2 linked regions of the Neodiprion lecontei genome follow. The protein of the gene in region 2 purifies or fractionates together with the protein of the main gene of each other region. This does not show direct contact. Links are inferred from orthologs where the notes say so. Each region holds a gene or a part of one and is shown on either strand. Other genes may lie near its edges.

Region 1 (3,755 bases), on a different chromosome or scaffold from region 2:
AATGTTTCTCATGATTTTTCAGTCTATTTTTATTTCAGTGGGAAGACTCTAGCCCCAACTTCCTGGCGGGAATTTTGCCCCTTGACCCCTCTCACACCCAATTCTATGCTTCAATATCATTTTTATGTTATTGGGTTTTATGAAATAGCGTTTTTTTTTCTCTCCATAGTTCTATGTAATCTCGTGGGGCATTTTCCACCCACCGCATGAAAAACTAATGTTTACAACTCGGGCGCAGGATTTACGGCCTTATTGTAAACAGCTCTAATTACCTGCCGAAGATTTTCACGAGAAATATATTAGTAGCCTGTCGAGCGGTAGACGTTTTAAAGTACATCCAATTTAACACATTTCAATTATTATATTGTATAACAGAAACAATATACATTGTAAGAATAAATTAAGATTGGATATCCTTGTTACGTCCCCCAGACTTCATATTCCTTTCCCACACTCTTAGTTACCTTACGCTCTGTAGTCTACTCTTATCGTCCGCGAGTCAGCAGATTCTTCTGTAACTCGCGGCTAGCTTGCCTCCTACATCCCGCAAAACAAGGCAGATCCATCCTAGCGCTCAAGCAAGACACCTATCCCTCTAAACCAAGACCATACCTTTTTCCCTCGACCGACTCCGTTGCATTGACTACTAATAAACAATCATATACTTATAATCGTTTACCTTCCCTTAATACCGATCCCTTTCTATTCCATTCGCTTCCTGCATTGGGAGTAGTAGCACGCGAGTGCATAGTCGATGTGAACGGACCCTATAATAGCCAAAGAACACCTTGGCTGGGCGTGGAGTAAGCTCCGATTACCGCTCATCGGAGCCTACGCATTCTACCCCGTAACATCATCCTTGTTTGATTCCGCAAAACTCTGCAGAGATTGATTCAGAAATTTTAACAATTTCTCAGAAGTTGAAAAAATTAGTAGCATACTTATGAAACTCTCTAAAGTGAGAGCAGAGATGAGTAGGGTGAGAGCTTAAACTTTAGCGTGCTTTAAAGTATCTGCATCCGTGCGTCTGCTGGTTTGAAATGTAAATCGAGATATCGATTGCGGAAAGTTTGCGTATCGCAAGTCGAACTATCGAAGTGCAAAAGCCAAACACGTGTCCTACCTAACCTCAAAAAACAACGCGGTTGTCCAAAGCGGCTGTCTTCCAACTTGCCACTGCCTAGTGATGGGTGCCCCGAAAAAGGCAGGTAAGCGAAAGCAGGACCCAATCATTCCGAACAAATCAAATAAAGAAGAAGAAAGGGTAGAGAATGTCGAAGAACTTGAAGACGATGACGACTTGGACGAGAATTCGGTAAGACAGATAATCGAATCATTTAAATATGTATTAAACATCCTAGGTTAGGTTGAGTTGGGTCAGCTTTGAGCTTCAATAAAAAATTGAAGCAGTAATCGTAACGCAAAAATCTATTGTCATCACTGGTTCTCTTTGGCAATTTATTGTACACTACATAACACTCCGTGTATCCAGGATTTAGGATCGGAGGATTTTCTAGCCACCGATCAACTCGACGAGGACGATGACAGCACAGACGACGAAGTCGAAGGAAATAATGATGTTGTCGATTCTGATACTGAGAATGATCCAATTGTTTTTGGCTCTGATAACGATGATGAGGAACTAGAATTTGAATCTGACTCTGAAGAGTACGAGAAGGATGATGATTCTGTGAATGAAGAAGAGGAGGACGAAGAAGATTCGGAAGCAGAGAGTGACGGGTCTGTCAATTCCAAAGACAAATTCAGTTCAGAATCTGGAAACGAGCAGTCAGAGGAAGAAGTTCGGCAGCCTAAAACAAATAACAAATCTTTGGTAAAGTCTAATAAGGAAAGCAATGGAAGTAACAAGCCAGCTAGAAATGTGAATAAAAAAGTGGTAAAACTAAGCGATCATAGTGAGAAAAATTTGGATTATGGTGTAAAACAGAATAAATCAAGTATTGTGAATAGTGGTCGCAATACAAGCGACCCAGCAGTTGAAAAACTGACTAGTAATGTCGACGAATATGAACAAGACAGTTCGGATGAAGAAGATATTCGAAATACCATTGGGAATATCCCCTTGCAATGGTACAACGAGTATCCTCACATCGGGTACGACTGGGACGGTAAAAAAATTTTAAAACCAGAGAAAGGAGATCAGCTGGATAACTTTTTGAAGAGAATGGAGGATCCAGATTTTTGGAGAACTGTGAAAGACCCCATGACGGGACAAGATGTAGTACTCAGCGAAGCTGACATAGAGCTCATAACAAGAATCCAGAAGCAAAAGATACCTGATGCTCAATTTGACGAGTACACAGTAAGTTATTTGTTCCTTACCAGATTCTATTTAATACTTTCAACATATCTCTGAAATTTGTTTTGAAACTTTATTTTCCCATTACTTTTACAGCCTTGGGTCGAGTGGTTCACGTCCGAAGTGATGAAAACGCCATTGCGTAAATTTCCGGAGCACAAACGATCATTCTTGCCTTCAAAGTCGGAAGCAAAGAAAGTTTCCAAGCTAGTTCATGCTCTGAAAATGGGTTGGATAAAGTCAACAGTCGAAATGGAGAAGGAAAAACAGAAGAACAAGGAAAACAAAGATTTTTACATGCTGTGGCAGTCAGACGATCAGGCTGAGGAGATGCGGAGGATTCACAAGCACATACCGGCGCCAAAGAGGCATTTGCCTGGTCACGCAGAGAGCTATAATCCTCCGCCAGAGTATCTCTTTGACAAAAAAGAAATGAAGGAATGGAATAAGCTGAAGTCCACGCCATGGAAAAGGAAGCTTCACTTCATTCCACAGAAGTTTAATTCACTTCGTGAAGTCCCGGCTTATTCAAGATATATCAAAGAGCGGTTTCAGAGATGTTTGGACTTGTATCTTTGTCCAAGGGCTTTGAAAATGAGGCTTACCATTGACCCAGCCAGCTTGGTTCCACAGCTACCTAGTCCTCAAGATTTACAACCATTTCCCACTACTATGTCAATGGTCTTTAAGGGGCACACTGACATGATAAGATCCTTCACTGCCGAAGCTAAAGGCCAGTATATCGCTTCTGGCGGAGATGATATGACGCTTAAAAGTGAGTTGTTTTGTCGAAACTTTTTCATTGTAGGTCGATTGTAATTAAAGATTAAGGAAAAAAATTAAAACTGCGAATTAATGAATGAGTGAACATGTTTTCAGTATGGGAAATTGCAACTGGTAGATGTGTGAAGACCGTTCCTTGTGGAGGCATTATAAGAAGTGTTGCATGGTGTCCAAATCAAGCAATTTCGCTGATAGCCGTTGCTGCAGATCAGAAAGTTTTGTTAATCAACCCTGGAGTAGGGGACCACTTAATCACAAGCAAAACGGACCAGCTTCTAGAAATCATACCTCAAAGCGATGTAATAGGTAATAAATTTGTTAGCATATGTGACTGTAACTGAATCCAGGAAACTACTTTCCAATGTACTAAATTCTTTTTACTTGTATTTCAGTGAATGAGAGGGTAAGGACGGCAGTTCAGTGGGAACAGGCCGAAGGTGAAAATTGGCGAAATGGTATCAGAGTAATATTGAATCACTTTAAAGTTGTGAAGCAGGTGACTTGGCATGCGAGGGGTGACTATCTAGCCACCGTTATGCCCGATGGGCAGAACAGATCTGTTCTAATAAATCAGTTGTCAAAGAGGCGTTCGCAATTGCCATTCAGCAAGTCCAAGGGACTAGTACAATGTGTTTTGTTCCATCCCATTAGA
Region 2 (3,755 bases):
TTGAATATCCTAACAGTGTTGTCGGCCCCGCCAGATACCATGAATTTTGGATTGGACCAGTTGCAGCAGAGAACTTTGTCATCGTGTCCAGAAAGATCAAATAACGGTGCTTTGGGACTGTAAGAAGAATGGGAAAGGTAATATCGACACCACATAAAATGAAGTTCACGTTTATTAATCATGTCTAAGAATGTGTAGAGACTTTATGCACAAACCTTCGAGTATCCCAAAGCTTCACCTGGTTATCGTATGCTCCAGACAGAAAAAGGTATTGATCAGTCGTTGACCAGAAGACAGACTGCACCCATTGCGTGTGTGAAGTGAAAGTTCCCTTGACCACTGATCCCTCTGAAAAAAAAAAAAATATAATGCCAACGTTAGCAAACATCAACGATCATGAATATCCGAGTGATTTTACTACGTGGCATAGATTTCATCCTCACCTGACGATCTTGGGTCGTATAATCTGATATGCCTGTCGGCTGAGGCGGTGAGGAGAGCGTTAGCTAACGGCGAATATGCAACATCAAAGAAGCTCTTATTCCCTGGAATTTCATGCTTGATTCCACCAAGTTCTGTATCCCAAATTTTTAGCGTGTGATCCCATGACGACGTTACTATTTCAGATTTATCTGACCAGACTACACCACTAATTGCCTCTTTGTGGCCTTTCATCGTTATTTCTGGCGTCTGAAATTGCCCGAATTATATTGTTGATAAAAAAAAACTGGCCTGGTAAGTTTTACTGTATTTTTTATTCTCAATCATATAGTGAACATAATCAAATTTGCCATACAGATACTCACTCTAACTTTACCATGATCTGTTTTCAGCTTCTTTGAGGCAGACTCACCGTCATTGTTTCGATCGTCGACAGCTGTAAGAAAGAGTTTGATTTATGTGATTATTAATCGTATTAAAAAGATGTACAAGATCAGTTGCAAATATTGTTCAGTTCAAAGCCCTAAGTTAATTCATCAAATAACTCTCGTTCAGAATGCACCTCTTCGAACTTACAGGTGGACCAAATCTTCAGCATTGTATCCCATGATCCCGTGGCGATCAGTGTGGCATTATGATTGACTGCAATGTCTTCCAGCCCGCGTTCATGTCCACGACAAATTTGAACGCATTCTATTGAGTTACTTCTGATGTTCCAATCCCATAAAATGGCAGTTTGGTCTTGCGATGCACTGCAAGGAGCAAGAGATTAATGTGTTATTGTATTATATCTCATTAATTTATTGCAAGTAGATTTGTAGCGATAACATGAACGTTGTGTACTTCGCTTATAGTACCTAACAAACGTCGCCCTCTCATTGTCTAATGTTATCCAAGCCACTGCTTTAATGGGCGATGTGTGTCCTGGAATTGTGAGGTGATGTTTTCCTTTCGTATTCCAGATGTGCACGGTATTGTCGTAACATCCCGTCAGTATCCTGTAATTGGTGGAAAAAGTAGCAAATTACTACTGCTTTGTTATGTGTGAGTAAATTTCCCTAGCCAAAAAGTCTGTAATTTTGAAAACGTTGATGTAAAAATTGAAAACACTTGCCAGTTCTCTCTTACAGCAACTGCTGACACCCAGTCATCGTGTATGAGACAGTCTTGGGGTTCCGGAGGAGGATGCCGCTCCACATACTCGACTGAAACGACTTCCTCAGTCGTTACTCCACGCTCATTGATATGCTCGGCTAACGAGGTGCGCAGGAACTCATTGCAGACAAGAAAATCAAACTCTACAGTTGCAGTGGAGTCTGCAGATTCTGTATAACATTTGTTAATGAATCAGATTTGCAGTACAATATTTCTACAACAGATACGAGCTTTTCCAAAGTTCAGGAAATCTCACCTCTTAAAAGTTCATTGAGTATAGTATTCAGTTGATCAGTGAAAACTGTTGATGGCACAGACAATGGATAGTCTGGAACAGCGTACCTGAAAATCGAATTTGTGTAGATACAAAACAGTGAAATTTATATTGGCATTGTTTTAAAAGTATCAAATTTCTATATCCAGTTTACAAGAGTCTGCAGTACAGCCGACAGCCGTTTGTTCCACGTGTTTAGCTTTCACATCAAAAACCTGACTGAGCAAAACGTGTGTTCATACTCATATTTTTATATACTCACTGTTCTTGTTTCGTGGTGAAGCGTATTTGGATTTGCGGAACGTCGTCATCGACACTTGCCATCGCGACGGTATGCTATTGAAACTGTGAAATAACTGATGAAATGATTATTAAGTTAAAGCCGCTCCGTTCCTATTGTCAACCAACAATTTCGATCTAACTTAACCTTGTAACATACAACTATCATGTACAGAAAATGCGTAGGAGGAGTGAGGATACCCTCGTCACAGCTTGTCTCTCTCGCTCTACATTTGATTGGCAGATACGCTTCCTTTCAGCCAATCAGATGCGGAGTGAGAGAGACAGGCTATAACCAGTATGCCCGGGTATATACCTCGCTCTCTTATCACTTCGACTGCAATTTTCACGATGTGACGGCATGGGCGGCTACGTCCAGTAGTACGTATATGCTCTAAGAACCTAACCTATCTCAACTTAAAGCCGAAATTTTATTTCAGCGACAAGAAATTGCAGCGATGCGTTGGCGTATCAACCAATAACGGACTCGGATTTCTGTCAAACATCGATGTCGCCGTGGTGTAATTCCGGCCTAATCCAACCTAGCATTCCGGTTAACGTAGTTCGGCACGTGGTGAATTTTAAATAAGAATGTATGTAACAATTGTAGGATTAATGAAGGAACCGAATACTACGGGAGAAATTAAGAGATTACCGTTATTCAGTGTGAGAAACTTGCTTTAATCTAACCTTATACTCACAATCAGTGTAACGACAGTGTCAAACATGCGAATGAAGCGATCGACTGGGCCGAAATCGGGTACTCCGAAGAAAAAACCGCAGGAGGAAAATGACTTGACCGTGAAAAGGATCGGCGGCGGAAGCATAATCGATCACCGTCCGTTATTTTCCCATGATGGAGAGTAAGTCAAACATAAACCTATGCCTCTGATACTTTGATGGATGATTATCTAACCTCAAATTTAATTCTTTAGGTTATTATTTGTCGTTTGGAAGCATTCAATTAGAGCCTACAGCACTAGGACCGGAGATCTGGTCAGAGAATTTGAAGGAATTGAACACAAGATCGCAGGAATATCTTCGCACCCTGACAACAGAGATGTAGTTTTAGCTTGCTCAGACGTCGGTGAACTGATATATTGGAACTGCTACAAGGGTCTGATAATAAAAAAAACAGTATGTGTTCCAGAAAAATTCTCAATCAGTTTTTGTTCTCTTAATACCGGCTCATCATGGATTAACAATTTTCTGAAACAATTCGCAGAATCTTCAAGTTGATGATCGTGATGCAAAAATTAGGACATTTCATATTGTCAGATATCGGACAAGTGATGGAAGTAACGTTACCCAAGCGCTGGTCACCTATCTTATCGAAAGGAAAATTCATGTGAAATTGTTTGGTGTAGAGAACGGCAAAATCGCTCTACGAACTAAATTAGGGTACGCTATTTTACTTGAAACTTATCACTTTTTTTCTCTGCACTACATCATGTACATTGGAAATCAACCATGCTTGGGAGAGCAAAGAAAATTTATATTCTTTCATTTCAACCACAAGGAAAACAGAGTATCATACATATCCGTTGCACTAAAATCTCTTATTGCTAATGTAATAATTTAATTTGAAATATACATTTCTTCAGCA

What was found. Proteins that work in one complex are often made in the same cells at the same time.
Region 1: the proteins of ribosome biogenesis protein WDR12 homolog (region 2) and ribosome biogenesis protein BOP1 homolog purify together in Homo sapiens (affinity purification with western blotting; 6 studies listed by BioGRID and IntAct, with this or other methods). This does not show direct contact. The link is inferred for Neodiprion lecontei from reciprocal best matches to the Homo sapiens genes WDR12 and BOP1.

What each region holds. Positions count from the first base shown.
Region 1 is NC_060260.1:39,239,215-39,242,969, reverse strand, and holds the start of ribosome biogenesis protein BOP1 homolog, read left to right. Parts: upstream 1-977; 5' UTR 978-1,186; coding exon 1,187-1,315; intron 1,316-1,492; coding exon 1,493-2,323; intron 2,324-2,416; coding exon 2,417-3,095; intron 3,096-3,199; coding exon 3,200-3,409; intron 3,410-3,495; coding exon 3,496-3,755. UniProt on the Homo sapiens protein: Component of the PeBoW complex, which is required for maturation of 28S and 5.8S ribosomal RNAs and formation of the 60S ribosome.
Region 2 is NC_060264.1:3,893,083-3,896,837, reverse strand, and holds the start of ribosome biogenesis protein WDR12 homolog, read right to left. Parts: upstream 2,325-3,755; 5' UTR 2,195-2,324; coding exon 2,133-2,194; intron 1,939-2,132; coding exon 1,853-1,938; intron 1,767-1,852; coding exon 1,556-1,766; intron 1,440-1,555; coding exon 1,299-1,439; intron 1,194-1,298; coding exon 1,018-1,193; intron 878-1,017; coding exon 807-877; intron 691-806; coding exon 444-690; intron 349-443; coding exon 216-348; intron 118-215; coding exon 1-117. Other genes in the region: WD repeat-containing protein 75, read left to right, coding at 2,876-3,012, 3,085-3,286, 3,375-3,550.